Linked DNA regions of Arabidopsis thaliana. The protein of the gene in region 1 interacts with the protein of each later gene in a pairwise test. Each region holds a gene or a part of one and is shown on either strand. Other genes may lie near its edges.

The links. Proteins that work in one complex are often made in the same cells at the same time.
Region 2: the proteins of SLK2 (region 1) and AT3G58630 interact in a two-hybrid assay, tested with the Arabidopsis thaliana proteins (one large-scale study listed by BioGRID).

Annotation. Positions count from the first base shown.
Region 1 is NC_003076.8:24,932,953-24,943,339, reverse strand, and holds SLK2 (SEUSS-like 2), read left to right. Parts: upstream 1-4,100; 5' UTR 4,101-4,420; exon of another isoform or gene 4,421-4,717; 5' UTR 4,718-4,799; coding exon 4,800-5,723; intron 5,724-5,818; coding exon 5,819-5,950; intron 5,951-6,061; coding exon 6,062-6,110; intron 6,111-6,216; coding exon 6,217-6,431; intron 6,432-6,517; coding exon 6,518-6,586; intron 6,587-6,677; coding exon 6,678-6,778; intron 6,779-6,967; coding exon 6,968-7,061; intron 7,062-7,144; coding exon 7,145-7,214; intron 7,215-7,322; coding exon 7,323-8,119; 3' UTR 8,120-8,378; downstream 8,379-10,387. Other genes in the region: AT5G62110 (Homeodomain-like superfamily protein), read left to right, coding at 64-114, 308-424, 945-1,001; BAG2 (BCL-2-associated athanogene 2), read right to left, coding at 1,565-1,870, 2,081-2,227, 2,323-2,579, 2,683-2,863; AT5G62080 (Bifunctional inhibitor/lipid-transfer protein/seed storage 2S albumin superfamily protein), read left to right, coding at 8,940-9,213, 9,529-9,542. UniProt on the Arabidopsis thaliana protein: Probable transcription regulator that functions in the development of the carpel margin meristem similarly to SEUSS (SEU).
Region 2 is NC_003074.8:21,681,045-21,688,563, forward strand, and holds AT3G58630 (sequence-specific DNA binding transcription factor), read right to left. Parts: upstream 4,996-7,519; 5' UTR 4,728-4,995; coding exon 3,803-4,727; coding exon of another isoform or gene 3,792-3,802; exon of another isoform or gene 2,925-3,791; coding exon 2,884-2,924; 3' UTR 2,882-2,883; intron 2,778-2,881; 3' UTR 2,486-2,777; downstream 1-2,485. Other genes in the region: TTL4 (tetratricopetide-repeat thioredoxin-like 4), read left to right, coding at 1-224, 295-490, 588-769, 873-1,209, 1,285-1,486, 1,572-1,678, 1,763-1,915; AT3G58640 (Mitogen activated protein kinase kinase kinase-like protein), read right to left, coding at 6,109-6,191, 6,291-6,363, 6,442-6,730, 6,922-7,078, 7,169-7,188, 7,296-7,419.

The sequences.
Region 1 (10,387 bases):
ACTAAATCACTTTTGTGTGTAGTGATATAACAAATAGTTGATATTTGAACATTTACTCCATAGGAAGAACAAGGTGCTGTAGATATGATGGATATTGTAATTACATTTGATGAGGTAAAAGGCTTTTCAACTTTCACAATCCTATTTTAGGAAAATTAATTTTTTCTTATAATTAATTTTTGAATTTTATTGGATTATACATAATTTTTGAAAGAAATAATATAATCATACATATATATACATTAAACCAATTTTGTGTACAATATAGATATGACACATAATTGATATTTGAACATTGGTTGAATAGGAGGAAGAAGATGTTGCAGCTTTGACTGATATTCCAGAACAAGATGTTGAGATTTTGACTGATGTTCCTGAACAAGGTGTTACAGATTTGACTGATGTTCCATTGACATTTGATCAGGTAATCTTTTAAATTTTTACAATAATAATTTTAGTTATAAGTTGTATTCTAGTTTTATTGAAGTCTACGTAATTTTGAGTTTTGAAATATACTTACAAACGATTGATATAAAAAATATGGTTTTATTGAAGTCTACGTAATTTATCGAAATTGGTTTGATATATATACAATGATATAGCAAATAATTGATGTTTGAATATTAATTGCATAGGAGGAACAATGTGGTGCAGATTTGATAGATGTTTCATTGCCATTTGATGATGTATTTAAACTTTTACAATTCTACTTTAATAAAGTTAATTTTGGTTATAGTTCTCATCAAAATTTATTGAATCCTAGAAAATTCTTACTTTTTGAGAAAAAAAACTATAATGATACACCGATGCCATATTTTCATTTTTATATCAATTATAGAAATATAAAGAGTCTAATAGTATTTGTAGTCTATGAAATGTCACGTGTGTACTAGATCTAATTTCTTATAGCAAATTCATTTACTAGTTTATGTTTTCTGATACAGGATTGGAAGGATGATGGCCTCATGAACTTTATGCTGGATGTTGACGACATGTTTTAAGAAAATCTTTTAATTTTGCTTTTGAAAGTATCAGATTAATATTTGATAACTTTGTTATGTTGTTTAAGATTTTATTTAAAATTTGGATGTTGTTTTGGTTTAAGATTGTTTTCAATTTTTGACGTTGTTTTTGTCATCATGACTCATATTCAATTTGGATGCTATTTAAGTAATTTGTGAATTTCGTAGATGTTTACATGCATATCACTGATTGAATGATTGCATTTGTAGATATATGTTTGGAATCGTAAACCAAATTTTATTTTTATATTTAAAATAAAATGCTACAACTCTTAACAGTTTATTTTAATCATTTCAAAACCTTCGTTCTCTCCCTTTTGCCATCTACTCGCATACTTTTTTTAATCCACATATTTTCTTTTAAATAGTAAATACTACATTGTTTTTAGTATATCACAACAACAAAATTTGATAATGTAACATAAACGACCAATCACAAATCATATACAACTAGACAAAAATAATCACATATGTTACACCTTACAATAAATCTGAAAACTAAGTATAGTATATTATATTATCGTGTAATTAATATCTAGATATTAATTGAATAATTCCCATTTAAATTTTGGGTGAACCGGTCTAACGGGTTGTAGGGTTGCCGTGGAGGCTGAACTAGAATCAAACGTTTCCCATCTTGTTGTTATGATCACCGGAGGACTTGATGAGGAGGCCGTCGGTTTCCTTGACGCCTCCTCGTAAAATGTCAGCATTTCCCGTTCCTTGTATTGCGGCTTTGGTTTCGTTTGCGGTTGCCTTGAGTTCTTGATCTTCAACAAGTCGAGAGCCTCAACATACTTGTGTAATCTTTCCTCCTTCCAACAATTTGTAAATCGAATCATTAGATTCTAACTATACATAAAAAATAATAATTGTCAAAGCGACTTCAAAAACTTGAATAACAAGACTTTATGGGTATGATTGGTAATTACTTATAGAATGGTTCCATAATTCTGCAAATTTATGAATAAAAATTAATAGAGTTGTGTCATCTAGAATTCTAAGTAAAATGAAGAATTAGATTAGTAACAGTGAGTAATAAAACATGATTTAAGTACCTGCATCTTCTTCTTCAATTTAACGTCTCCATCACCTGAGATGGCATCGAGCTTGACCAATTGATTCATCAACATCTCCATCAAATTCTCAAGATTCTTCTCTTCAACTTTCCCTCCTTTACCAATCACTGTATCAAACGCCGACAGCTAAAGTCCAAAAACCAAAAAAAACAATTCTGATTCAAGTTACGAGACAAGAGCGTTGTTATCCGGAAAATTTAAAATTATGTTTCTTAAGTTACTTGTCCGGCGAGTCTTTCGACTTGGAAACTAATATCAGAGATTGCTTTAGATGATTTCTCTTTGGTGGCGATTTTCCTCAACTCAAGGAGACGTTTCTCCTGAGAAATGGGATCTTCTATAAGAATAAGTTTCGAACGATCTTTGACACCAGAAAGATCAAGAAACATCTTTGAGTCTCTTTCTTTGTCTTTGTATATAATCTGCATGTCTTGATGATGAACTCCTGTCGCACCAGACAATATCTTCTTTAATTCCCCTGTTGTTAAATTCAACAACAACAACAATCAAATTCCAAAAACAGAGCATACTAATAGTATAAAGGAAATACTGTATAACTCGGAATGTTTTGTGTCGTTTACCGAAAGTAGATTGAGAGTTGATACTGATCTCGTGATGGACCGACCCGTATTTGACCCGAACCCGAATGCCACGTGGCACGCTTGAGCTATGATCCGTCCTTTTCTGTACAACCATTCCTCCAGGTCGGAGCTCCATTTCACCGTCGCCGGAAGTTGTTGTTCCGATACTCATTTTCATCATTTTCTTTATTAAGAGAGATAGAGAGAAAAAAACAGAGGAATGATGAGATGAAGTTGATTTCTGAAAAAGATCAAGAAGAAGAAGAAGAAAAAAGAAACGTCTGAGCAAAGAGAAGTAAATACACTTTGTTTTGTAATAAATTAATGTTTCTGTTTCTGGACAGAACTCGTGGAAGAAGAAGAAAGATAAGAATCATATAAAGCAGATTATTGTTTTATAAAATTTTATACAATGAGAAAAAAAAGTTAAAGAAAAGAGTGACAGCTAATGTGATTGTTGTTATGTCTCATTATCAGTCCATCACAGATACATATATTTAATATAAATGTTGTATCCCCCACATATTTATTTCTATTTCTGATAAATAATGACGATATATTAATGTCGTTGTTACATTTATATTTATTTGTCATCGTTCTTCTGTATTTTATAAGTCGTGTTCTACGTTTCTAAGTACAGGTAAGCTAATGAAATAACTGAAACAGAAACTTGTGTTACACGTCACGCCTTTAACTCCGACAAACTCTGCAACTTAAAAATCTCTCTTTCTTGCAGATCCACATTGTCTAGAATTATCGTCGGTGTTGTGTGTCTTCTTGCCAAGTTTTGAATGATCCATGGACCGTACGGACCACACACGAGCTTTCTTTGATCATTTCTTGAACAAGCTAGTGCTTTAGAGACAGAGACACCGGTTAGGTTTGACCTCAAGACTGTTCGAGAACAGAGCTTTGAACGGTTGGAGAACAGAGTATAATTATTTATGGGCTAATAATGGGCCTAAAAATACTGAAATAGGCCTGTTGGGTCGTAGCTCCATATAGTTGGATGATCTTGTCGAAATATTTTAGGGGTTGAATTGTCAAAGGGAGTAATATTGGGGTCAATAAGTAATCATGCAAAAAAGAGGATATTTGTCGTAAGCCCACTCATTTACAGCTGCAATCATTGGTACAGTTATTACAAAAAAATAAAATAAAAAACATAATTTGGTCAATCAACTTTAAACTACACGCGTCGCACACGATCCATGCTCTCAATCGAACGATCCACAATTGATTTAACTTTATTGATCGCAAGGTCAAGAATATGCCACGCAATCAAAACAGCTAAAGGTTACCAATCGGTCATACGATACTTGTTACGATAAACAAGACACGTGTCAGTATTGACTAGCGGGTAATAAAAAGTACTTGCAAAACCATAAGCAGATGGGTCACCGGCTTGTCCGGTCAGATTTGGTTCTTACGATTTCCTCTAGGTATATTAACAAAGGCGCGTCAAGTTCATTGCCTAGTTCCAGCTCTCTCCAGGATTTTCCTTTTTTTTATGCAAAAACAACAAACACAAAATAAATAAGAAGATTGTTTATTTTAACTTTATATTACAGCTTGAAATTTCCAGGCAAATTTTTTTCCTTCTTCTTCTTCTTCTTCTTGTCTCATTAATTATCTTCCTCTTCTTCTGTTTCAATTCAGCTGGGTTTAGTTTTAATTTCTAGTTGTGATCTCTCAGCTTTTGTTCTATATTGATCGAAGCTCCACTTAACAGTTCTTCGTACGTTGTTTCCGTGTTCTTCGCTTTTTTATTTTGTAATTTAATTTCGGTTGCTTTTTAAATATCTAACTCCGAGATTTTTAAGGGATTGCTATCTATTTTTTTTTTTTTTGGGGATTGGTTAGTTTCTCGGTTAGTTATGTTAAGTAACGAACTTTAAAATTAGGGTTTTGATTTGGTTTTTTTTTTATTTCAGTGGTTAAGTTCAATGTCTGTGTATCTTTAATAACGCACCAGATTCATGTGTTAGGGAATGTTATTGATCTGATTTTAATCGATACATGTATAATGTTGTAGGTATCAGTAGTAAAGGTGGGACATTTGTGTCGCATTGAGGAAGAAACTTTGGATTTCAGACTCACTTGGGACCTACCCTTTAATGGCTTCTTCAACTTCTGGGATTTTCTTTCAAGGAGATGATGAATCTCAAAGCTTCATTAACTCTCACTTGACTTCCTCTTATGGGAATTCATCTAACTCTGCTCCTGGATGTGGTGGACCTACTGGTGGCTATCACAATCTCAGTATGGTTTCTGGTGATATGCATAATCCGGTTATGATGAGTGTTTCAACACCCGGTCCAAGCGCAGGAGCTAGTTCGCTTGTCACAGATGCTAATTCAGGGCTCTCTGGAGGTGGTCCTCATTTGCAGCGTAGTGCTAGTATCAATAATGAGTCATATATGCGTTTACCGGCGTCTCCTATGTCGTTCTCTTCTAATAATATCAGCATATCTGGTTCATCAGTTGTAGATGGGTCGACTGTGGTACAACGGCATGATCCTAGTGTTCAGCTAGGTGGCTCTAGTGCTACATCACTGCCTACATCACAAACTAATCAAATCCCGCTTTCTATGGCTCGGCGTGCTTCTGAATCGTTCTTTCAGGATCCAAACAACTTAACTCAAGCACGGAAAAAACCTAGATTAGATTCAAAGCAGGATGATGCTTTGCAGCAGCAGATTTTACGTCAGTGGCTTCAGAGACAGGATATATTGCAGCAGCAGCAGCAACAACAACAACAAGGCCAAAATCCACAGTTCCAAATCTTGCTTCAGCAACAAAAGCTGAGGCAACAGCAACAATATCTCCAGTCCCTCCCACCATTGCAACGGGTTCAACTGCAGCAGCAGCAACAAGTGCAGCAACAGCAACAGTTGCAGCAGCAGCACCAACAGCAACAGCAACAGTTGCAACAACAAGGAATGCAAATGCAACTAACCGGTGGGCCAAGACCTTATGAAAATAGCGTTTGCGCTCGAAGATTGATGCAGTACCTATATCATCAGCGACAAAGGCCTTCTGTGAGTGTGCATGTAGTCGTCAAATTTTTTGTTTTATGTGTATTCTAGAAAAAAGCTCTTGACAGATACCAGTCGTGTCATTGCTGATTTTGTAGGAGAGCAGTATTGTTTACTGGAGGAAATTTGTGACGGAGTATTTTTCTCCCCGGGCAAAGAAAAGATGGTGTCTTTCTCATTATGATAATGTGGGGCATAGTGCACTTGGTGTTTCTCCTCAGGCAGCCACGGTTTGTTTCCCTGACTCTTTGTTTTTTTTGGTTTCATACTCTTTATGCTGATCTTACGGTGTAGTTACAAATAGGTTACTTATTCTTGCTTTTTGTATTTTCCATTTGCAGGATGAATGGCAGTGTGATCTATGTGGTTCTAAATCGGGAAGAGGATTTGGTAAGTTCCAATTTGCTTATACCCTGATGAAGAAGAGGGAAATTTCAAAAATGTTTATGGTAGCAAAACATCTTCTCTTAGTAACTTTTTCTTATGGATTCTGCAGAAGCAACTTTTGATGTCTTGCCAAGGCTTAACGAAATCAAATTCGCAAGTGGTGTCCTGGACGAGCTTCTTTATCTGGGTGTACCGTCTGAACGCAGATATGGATCTGGAATTATGGTGTTAGAGTATGGAAAAGCAGTTCAGGAGAGTGTGTACGAACATATCCGTGTTGTTCGCGAAGGCCATCTTCGGATTATATTCTCCCAAGAGCTGAAGGTGGTTTAAAGAGCTTTTGATTCCAAATACTTTTAATCATTAATGTGTATTAAAGTAACTTAGCTTATCCTTTTTCCTTTTGCCAGATTCTCTCATGGGAGTTCTGTACTCGTCGACATGAAGAACTACTTCCTCGTCGCCTAGTAGCTCCACAGGTAACATTAATGGTTCTTACAATCTTTGTGACTCTTTTTGAAATCCCTGGTCTTGAGATTTTTTGAATGTCTGCTCCCTATGGTCGTGCAGGTGAACCAATTGCTTCAGGTTGCAGAGAAATGTCAGAGCACAATTGATCAAAGTGGATCAGATGGGATTCATCAACAAGATTTGCAAGCTAATAGCAACATGTGAGTCTTGATGATTCTAGACAATATTTCACTCTCTTTCTTCCATATTTCTCAATCAATTCAATTTCATTGTTTCTTGCATCTTGTACGGTAATTAGGTAAGATTTTTCACTGATGCAAAGAAGATCAAAGCGATTTTAGCTTAATATATACAAATATGATGTACTGATGCCAAGTCTTTTGCTCCAGGGTCATGGCTGCTGGACGTCAACTAGCAAAAAGCTTGGAGTCACATTCACTCAATGACTTAGGCTTCTCAAAACGATATGTTCGGTGTCTGCAGGTATCTCTCTGCCTACTTTCTTGCATTTTCCTGGTGGCGTGTCTCCTTTTTACTGTTTAACTCTTGCCATCTTCTTTAAACAGATTTCTGAGGTTGTCAGCAGCATGAAAGATATGATTGACTTTTGCCGTGACCAAAAAGTGGGTCCAATCGGTAAGTTAATACATAAATCCCAGAGAGTCCCTGAGATTCATCAAAACGCTTTTTTTTTACTTGGCTGTGCTTATAAAAAGCTTTCTTGCTACCTTTTAACATTTGCAGAGGCTTTGAAGAGCTATCCATATCGAATGAAGGCTGGTAAACCTCAGATGCAGGAGATGGAGCAACTAGCGGCTGCCCGAGGGCTTCCACCTGATAGGAACAGTCTCAACAAGCTAATGGCCTTGCGCAATTCCGGGATAAACATACCAATGAACAACATGAGCGGTCAAGGATCTCTTCCCGGCTCTGCACAAGCTGCCGCTTTTGCGCTTACCAACTACCAGAGCATGCTCATGAAACAAAACCATCTGAATTCAGACCTAAACAACACCACAATCCAGCAAGAACCATCAAGAAACCGGAGTGCATCCCCGAGCTATCAAGGAACTAGTCCCTTGTTACCTGGTTTTGTGCATAGCCCATCAATAAGTGGTGTATCTTCCCATCTATCTCCTCAGCGGCAAATGCCAAGCTCCAGTTATAATGGCTCAACCCAGCAATACCACCAACAGCCACCTTCCTGTAGTAGCGGTAACCAAACATTGGAACAACAAATGATTCATCAAATATGGCAACAGATGGCAAACAGCAATGGAGGCTCCGGTCAACAACAACAGTCACTTTCTGGTCAGAACATGATGAATTGCAATACCAACATGGGAAGAAACAGAACAGATTATGTTCCCGCAGCAGCTGAAACACCAAGCACCTCCAACAGATTCAGAGGCATCAAGGGGTTAGACCAAAGCCAAAACCTGGAAGGTATTATCTCTAATACATCGCTCAACTTTGGGAATAACGGGGTTTTTAGCAATGAGGTTGATGAAAGCATGGGAGGATATTCTTGGAAGTCATGAGAGGCATTTTGATAGTTAGCTCCAATGTTGTCTTTGTAAAGAACGAGTTACTAAAGACTAACTTTCTTAGGTATATGAATCTGATGAGGGGGATTCAATGTTAACGTGTCTACTGTGTTGTTGTTCTTTCTTCTTCTTAGATTAAAGCTTCTCTTTTTATGAAGAGGTTTTTCTGGAAAGTGTTACTAATTCTGGAAAAGAAAAAAGACTGTTCTTCAGGAACTCATCGCTATCAATCAATATTTTACCTTTTTTCTTATGACTTTTTTTAAGCCTCGTTTATTTAAAGCTGATACAGTTACAAACATCGGTAACACGTCACAAACAAGCCAGACACATGCTATTTTTTTCTCTGAAATTTTAATAAAATGTATTTGTGACGTGATTTTAAATCATACAAAATTCCACAAATACGGATATGTAATCTTCATCTACTTGCACTAATACAGTAATACTTTTCATCTTCAATATACCAACCATCCTACTATCTACAAGAGATAATTTGTCAACTCCTTTTACCATAGTTAATTTCATATATTACATAATTTTGTATATGAAATATTTTTGCTTTGCACTAAAGAATAAAATAAATAAATAAAAAAACCTTGCACTCAGCGTGGTGGATAGAGAACAGAGTGATTTACTTTCACATGTAAATCTTGTGAACTAACTAGACCATGTGACCATGCCAAACGTCTCCTCAACTCATCTAATTAATCACTCAAAATATACACTCAAAACATTATATAAATGATAAATCTAAACATATGATATCATATACATAGAACTACATCAGATATCTATAGAAACAAACTTATCCATGGCAATAATGGCATCGTTCAAGTCTTTCGCAGCCGTTCTCAGTGTCCTTTTTCTTGCCATGACTGCTATAGAAACGGTAGTTCAAGCCCAAGAATGTGGCAACGATCTAGCAAATGTGCAGGTATGCGCCGCCATGGTGCTGCCCGGTTCAGGCAGACCAAATTCAGAGTGTTGCGCCGCACTTCAATCTACTAATAGAGATTGTCTATGCAACGCTCTCCGTGCAGCCACCTCTCTTCCTTCGCTTTGTAACCTTCCTCCTGTGGATTGTGGTACGGATTTATTTACTTTTAACCAAGAAGTTTGATATTTGGCTCGTTATCCCAAGATGAGGATGAATAAAACAAATCTCAATATATATTTAGTTTTAGTTACCAACATTTTAGACTTGGCCTAATATATGGCCAAACCAAAAAGACTTGGCCTAAGATTCCAAGTAGATTAAGTAGGATAAAACCTCATATATCAGCTCTAGCTAACTCGGCTAATGTAGTAATGTGTTTATTTAATGATATATAGACCTCTATTTCATATCTGTTTCTGAGGTTTTTTTGTTTTTTTGTTTGTTTTGTTTTTGGGTTGTGCAGGTATAAATGCTTAGTTAAGCTACGAGTCAATTCCAAGATGATCAAGGAAAACGGGAAAATAAAGAATAATGAGAAATATTCCAGTCTTATGTTTTTTCTTCTAACTTCTGCTTTACTATAATAAAGTTCTAGTAGTTTTGCTTAGAAATTTAGATACTACTAGTATAATAAAAAGCTTTGATAATTATGAGAATAAAACATTCCCGGTCTGAAACCAAATTATTCTTAAACATGTACGTACGTAAGTCTAGACATCAGAAATAAATTAGATTAGTGACTTGTTTAATATGCATGGAAAATCATGTTAGTTTTCATTGTTGCCAAGCTAACAATGTTTGTTTAAAAGCTAGAAAGTCTAAAAATTGCACCTGACCCCTCTAGTGCTTGTTGCTGAATACGACTTGAGGAGGATAGTATTTATTAGTGGTTATAGACGATCGTTATCACAGCTAGTCTTTATTTTCGAATGTTCCCTATTTGTTTTCCTTTTTCGTAGACTTACTTCTAAACTGCATCCTACTGAACAGTAAAATATAGATAACTAAACAAATAGATAGATGAATAAACGAAGAAAACAACACCTTTCAAAATCGAGGGGTTAATCTAGCTAGTGATTAACAACTTCTCTTTATAGAATTTGAAGTACAAGAAGAATTTGAATTGTGCCACCAGAATAACAACCTATGTAACATTTGTATGGCCTGGATAAAAGATAAACACCTATCATCCACACAAAATATATTTCTGATTTCAAAAACATATTCCATACACATTTGTAAAGTTTGCAGTCATTGTATTGGATTGAAGCAAAGAAAAAAGCTGCCAAATTGCAGAAGTCACAGACACTAGACTGCAGTGA
Region 2 (7,519 bases), on another chromosome or scaffold:
GCAGGTAACGTAATGTATAGGAAAGGGAATTACGCCGAGGCATTGGCTCTTTACGACAGAGCTATCTCATTGTCACCGGAAAATCCAGCTTATAGAAGCAATCGTGCGGCAGCGTTGGCTGCGTCAGGGAGGTTAGAAGAAGCAGTTAAAGAATGCCTTGAAGCTGTGAGATGTGATCCTTCTTACGCTAGAGCTCATCAGAGACTCGCTTCTCTTTATCTAAGGTAAAAAAAATTCTATCCTTTAAAAAGTTTTGATTGAAAAAGGATTAGTATTTGATTGGTTTGGTTTTAGATTGGGAGAAGCTGAGAATGCGAGACGTCATCTTTGTGTTTCCGGACAATGTCCCGATCAAGCTGATTTGCAGAGGTTGCAGACGCTTGAGAAGCATCTCAGACTGTGTACGGAGGCTCGAAAGATCGGTGATTGGAGAACGGTGATTAGCGAAATCGATGCAGCCATTGCAAATGGAGCTGATTCTTCTCCTCAGGTTAGAGATCAAAAAGTGGCATTGATTGCCTCTTTTGTGGTTGAATTATCAGCGAAAAGACTTTATCTTTTAAACAATGAGGTTTGATCTTGTGCAGCTTGTAGCTTGTAAAGCTGAAGCCTTTTTGCGGCTTCATCAGATAAAGGATTCAGATTTGTGTATATCCAGCATTCCGAGATTGGATCATCACCATACTCAACCACCTGAGAAACTATTTGGTATAGTATGTGATGCTTATGTGCTCTGTGTTCAAGCTCAAGTTGATATGGCGTTAGGAAGGTGAGCTTCGAAATGCTTAAACTTCGAATGGTGTTTTTGATTCTTTATTAGTAGTCTTGTTTGGTTCTTGGGTGAGTGAGTAGAGATGTTAGGTTTGTTGCAGATTTGAGAATGCGATTGTAAAGGTGGAGAGAGCCATGACGATTGATCATAGCAATAGTCCCGAGGTAGTATCGGTCTTAAACAATGTGAAGAATGTGGCGAAAGCTCGTACCCGAGGAAACGAGCTTTTTAGTTCGGGGAGATACTCGGAAGCGAGTGTGGCTTATGGGGACGGACTCAAGTTGGATGCTTTCAATTCGGTTTTGTATTGTAATAGAGCGGCATGTTGGTTTAAACTCGGTATGTGGGAGAAATCTGTTGATGATTGTAATCAAGCGCTAAGAATTCAGCCTAGTTACACCAAAGCTCTTCTCCGAAGAGCTGCTTCGTATGGAAAGGTTAGATTGAAGACACTGAATGGTTTTGAACCGAGTTTCTAATTAAGTATTTGGATTAACAAATGTTAAATGCAGCTTGGCCGATGGGAGGATGCGGTCAGAGATTATGAAGTATTGAGAAAGGAACTTCCAGGAGACAGTGAGGTTGCTGAGTCTTTACAGAGAGCAAGGAACGCTCTATCGAACAAATCCGAAGAACCTAAATATTTGGGATTCAATAACGAAGTTGAAGAAGTTTCGACCTTAGATAAGTTCAAGACCGCAACATCACTGCCCGGTATAAACTAGCTAACTCACTTTGCAAGTGTTAGTTTCAAGATTCCTCTCTTTGCTAAACAAAAAAAAATGGAAATATTTTTCAGGAATCTCTGTGTTTCATTTCAAATCATCATCAAACCGGCAAAGCGAAGCAATATCTCCATTCGTCAACACTTTATGCTTACGGTATCCATTAGTACATTTTTTCAAGGCAAGTCACTTGTTCTTATGCTCAATCGCGCAAAATGGTTATCGTTTTTGGTCTAACGCTTTAACGGGGTTTGTTTGTCTATAGGTGGACGTAGAGGAGAGCTTGGCATTGGCGAAAGCAGAGAGCATCAAGAAAATTCCAACGTTTAAGATTTATAAGAAGGGAGAGAAAGTGAAGGAAATGGTATGTCCTAGTCATCAGTTACTAGAGGACTCTGTTACGCATTTCCTCTTATAACATATCTCTCTTCTCATTCTTTCAAATCTTTAGTCTTCACGAACGTAAATTGATTCAAAGAGCCATTTTGTTAATTGAAATTTTCATTCTTTTGTTTTGCTTTACTGTATTATCATATTGAAACCTGCTCCGATTGTATTAATCCGAGGAAAATGCATGTTTCTCAATTATCGTTCATGCAAAAAGGCCCCAATTTAATGGTTCATTTGGTTTTCTTATTTTTGTTTGTTTTAGAAACTCTTACTTATTACAAATGGGTCCTGGTGGGCTGGGTTACTTGTAATAACACTGCTTTCAATAAAATATCCATTGACAAATAAACTATAGTTTCATAGAAGGAATTTGAGGCGCCAATACAGAACACAAACTATGACAAAGTCTCAATGAGAGCAAAAATGATTTGCCTCACATTTTGGGCAAAGGTTATGAATCTCAAGTTCTTAACATTTCATATTAAAGTCTCTTAAACTTAACATGTTATGGAGTTGAGAACTTGAGATTTGTAATAGATAAATAATGAATTACTAGGATATAGCGGTATATCCCTGAAGATTTTTTTTTTATTTTCCACCTCATTAAATCATAAATTAGAACACAAACTAAGAAATACCAAACAATACTAACCAATATAATTTTGCTGAAAACTGTTTCTTGTACTGTTTCATTGTGTAGATATACCAATATAACGTCACCAATTTTTTTTTCAATCCTGGGTTGGAATCGGAATCTTCTAAAAGGGTTAAAATTTACAAAACAAAGAGAAACTCATGTTTCTTTGTTACCATATCTTCTATTGGTTGGTGGAAGAACGCTGACTTTCTCTCATCTTCATCAAAATGGCTACAATCACAAACTCATGATGCTGCAAACAAAACCAACGACTTAGCCCAACAAGTCTACACATTTTGTACATAGGCAAAGTTTTGATCGACTAGGGAGTTTTAAATATAAATAAAGGAGTCGTACCTCTAGAAGTAACTAGGGAAATCCATCATCCCATAATCAAGAGCTGCATAAACAGAAAAAGTTCACTTATTATTCATACATAGACCTGCTGCTGATAATTTGTTCTAGTGGTCAAACATGTAATGCAAAGAGGAATTCATCAAATTAGCAGGTGACTAACAAGTAAAGAAATATGGACCAAGCGAAAACGAAAGAAACAAATGTCTGTCGTGTAATGCCATAGCCAAGTTGCAGGAAAGATTTGATGCATCCAAAAAAAAATCAAATTTTGTCTCCTGAGACTATATGTCAGAAACTAATGGTTGATGCATCCGAAAAATCCTTCCACATATCATGCATTCTCTTTTCAAACATCCATACCCATTATTTCCTAACTTTCGAAGCAGTTAGCATGTAAACTCACAATCTTCTCAATCAACTAACCAACAAAAAGGCTACTCTACACTCAAAACTTACTGGGCATCACACTCAAAACACTTCACAAAGCACTCATGCTTAACAACAAACAGAAGCAGATTCAAGTTTCTAGCTCATGAACTGCTTCCCAACTAATGCTCACATCAGTCATTGTAGAAAAACTTTCCACACTCAGACTATAATTACAAGAAACACAAGTAACAAAGCAACAACATCTAGGAGAAAAATGTAACCAGGACCTCCTCCTTACCATGAATACCAATACTTGCTACTAATTAGTTTATTTTTGTTCAGATTCATCATCTCTGTGCGATATCAATTTGTTCTTGTACTTTGATTGGGTTTATTATAGCCGTCGTTGGCACAGAGACTATCACAAGTAAAAAGGTAAAATTTGTTTCTACTCTTATGCTATAGTCACTGTTACACAGCTAAACAATGGAGAAAGACATAGAATTCTGAACAGATTACGAAATACGGCGAGAGAAAGGATTCAGGTCTCACCGGCGGAGGCGGAGGAAGTCGGTCCTTTGGAGCCAGAGGTACGCCGGAGCTTATGAAGACGTACCTGCATCTCCGTGAACAGTTGCATCCTATGGCATTCCAATTCCTTAGCGAATCTCATTCTCTGCTTCTCCAATTCAACCATTTCCTTCCTCTTCTTCTCCTCGACTCTCTCGTATATCTGTCCAAGCCTCTCAATTGCGTCGGCAACTTCCTTGTAGCCTTGCTTCTTCTCAATTTTCCTCTCCCGCTTCTTGTTACTCCCGCTACGACCGCTCGATCTAGACCTTGAACCTTCCGAGTCATCTTCAGACGCCGGACACGCCGCCGCCGCTGCGGCTGCCGCGAATGCGTTGAGATTCCCGCGAAATCCGAGTAAATCGTCACCGGCGTGAGGTATAATCGCCGGCGATGTCGCCGGACGTCTGGGGATCGCCGATCGTGGAGCGACCGGAACTGGATTAATGGACATCGGAAGTGATAGCCTCTGGTGCGGGATGTTATCAGTTGAATCAGGATTACTAGACGTCGGAAAGCTTTCCCGGAGAAGGTCATCGAGAGCGGAGAAGAAAGGCCAAGGGCTGATGTAGGCACCGGGATTGGATTCCGAAACCCTAGCCTTCTCGACTTTGTACTTCTTCTTCAGAGTATCGATCCGGTTTTTACACTGAACGTCGGTGCGATACGGCTGCGATTTGGCGGCGGAAACGTTTCGACCGGTGTTGTAGTGACGGTCGTTAACGGCGTTAGCCACCTCTTGCCAGTGTTTCTGACGGAGATTACCTCGGCTGAGGTCGACGTAGCGATTACCCCAGGCTTGGATGAGCGTGAAGGTCGCTTCCTCGCTCCAGCAATCTTCACGAGAAAGCGTCGCCGGCGAAGGTCGGGAAGATCCCGGCGAAAAGGAATCGTTGACGGTGTCCATTATAAGGTGAACGACGGCGAGTTAGATCGAAGAAGATGAACGGTGAGGATGAGATAAACGGAGGTGAACGGTGACAGTGACGGTAACGGAATTGAAGAGAAACGAAGTTCTTTTTTTTTAAAAAGACAAACCAGCGTTTTTGCTTTGTGTGCATGTACTAAACCGTGAGCCAGACTAAACGAGCCAGCTCTAGCTAATTTATATACATCGTTAATTTGGTTTTTATTTTTTAACAGCTAAAACGTTTTAATTTTTATTTTATTTTGTTAATGTTGACTACCGAACAAGATAATATTTCTCTATATTTTTTTTTCTTACAAAAGCTTTAAATATTCATTTTAATATGCAATTTGATAAGTCTAAAGTTAATTAGTAATATTATGTGTGGTAGTTCTAATTAAATTTCATTATGAATCGTTGGTAATATATTTTTTTTTTGGGTGAATCGTTGGTAATATAATATGTAAGTTTTGGTTGATATTTTCCTTTTTTTTTGTTGTCTAACTTAATTAGAATATGATAACGGTTCCAAATGAATTGGTATCACATCCTAAATAGTATGTAATTGACAAATTTATAGCATGGTGAAATTTCTGAAACTGTAGATTGTAGAGAAAAATCAAAGCTAATTAAAAAATCGGATATGGCTCGTTAGATGTTTGGTTTAGTTTCCGTAAAATGTAATGATAGTACTGCCAAGTAGAATATGATCAAACGATCTATTTTTGTAAGTTAATGACACATTGCTATATTAGAATAAGTTATTCTAAGTTTTGTGTGTTTAGGTGATAAGCTAAATGGGTAACGCGAACTACTAGTATCGTTGTTATATCACCGAATTTAAACTCGGTACTAGAATGTATGTTGTTGTCAAATAGGTAATGACAAATTACGGCTACGAACATAAAATCGTTTTTTCTTTAAATAACTAGAAGTTCTGCAAAAACTGTAGTTTGCTCTTTTTTCTTTGTCAATCAAAGCTCCTTTTCATTTCTTAAGGCACGAAATATAAACGAAAAGTACATGTATTTGTCCGTAATTTTCTTATAGCAAATGCAAAGCAGGGAACAAACCTTATGGTACGAAAAAGAGTAGCAAGCTTGATCATTTAAACTGAAAGAATGAGCAACTCTTCTCACCTTTTGTAAAATTTATAAGACTTACTTTTTTGTTTCAGAGGTTTTGAAATTTACGAATTTGCAAATGATTAAACGGAAAAGAGTTCCACAAAGCTTTTTGTGGATGTGAAAGCGCCAAAGTTCTTTTGTACAAACTCAAAGGAGAAAGCCAACAATATTCAAAAAAAAGAAACGAAGAAAACAAAAACCTCTCTCGCTGCAAAGTTTTATATTCACAGAAGGAAAATATGATTGAGAGAAAGTTAGCAAAGCGAATACTCACAATCCAGCAAACGAGAGAGTATCTCATTGCAACTCGGTCTTTGTTCCGGTTCTGTCCAACAATCTGCGAACAAGAGACAACACATCAGAAAAGGATACTCCATAAACCCCAAACAAAGCTTCAGGAAAAACGAAATAACAACACTTTGACAAGTCACAAGACCTGCAATAAGCTTTCCCAGTGGTCCTTCAGGAATCTCAAGCCGAGCTCCCTCGTAAGCAATAGCATAAACAACCTGAGAAGAAATATGAGGAAACTTGTTATATATACACATATGTCACTAAAGAGTCTTCTTCTTGTTCAGTTAAGTTACCCGTTCAGGCGGTACTCCTTCCCAAGGTCTGGTTAAAGTGCATAGCTCCCACATTATTACACCTAAACTGAAGATATCACACTTTTCTGAGAAGGGCTCATTGCGGATAAGTTCAGGAGCCATCCACTCTGGAGTTCCTGCAGAGACTGTGTCTCTCATTGTTGTCCCTGTCATTATTCTCGACAGCCCAAAATCACAGATCTTGACTGTCCATTTGTTGCTCAAAAGACAGTTTGCACTCTTTATATCACGGTGTACTATCCCCATCCGGTGTATACACATCAATCCCCTAGCAACATTTTACAAGTTTAAACGCTGTTTGTTAATTAAAGATGATTACGAAACTTTCTCATCGAGACACAATTCCAGGTCCTATTTGGAAGTGTTATTGCCTTCTCCTCAAACCAAAATTTTCCATATTAATACTACATACTATGTTGGAAAGAAGGATACACGGTTTTGTATGGAAGATGAAATTACCTGCAAATGTCCCGCAGCATCTTTAGCTTCCTCCGCCAGCTTAACCTCTTTTTTTGTCCACTCAAGTGGAGCAAGTAATACAAAGATCCCATTTCCATGTACTCAGTGATCAGTGATAATCGTGGAGGCTTTGTGCATGCTCCAAGGAACAGTATAACTACAAGAAGTCGAAGATGCATGCATTGATGAAAACATATACTAAAATCTCACAGTGAAAATTCATAGAGATAGATGAGTAGTTTAGTACCATTGGGATGTCTAAGTCGGCTAGTGGTTATTTGGACGCAGAAGGAGAAGGCAGGAAAGAAAGTCAGAAGACAAGTAAAGACGTTATTGCCAATTTTGAATAAAACAGAGAAAGCCTATAGACATACCTAAGAATTGATATCTCATTGCAGAAATCCTCCATGTTCTCAGCTGTAAGGTCTTGCTCAAGGAACACTTTGATAGCAACGTCTGTCCCGTTCCAGATCCCACGGAATACTTCTCCGAAAAATCCTGGAAGGAAAAATCAACGAAGAAGATTTAGATGGGTTACTAATTCAAAAAAAAAAAGTAAACTTTTGAAGATAGATAAATACGAGGGTAAGGATCGTGA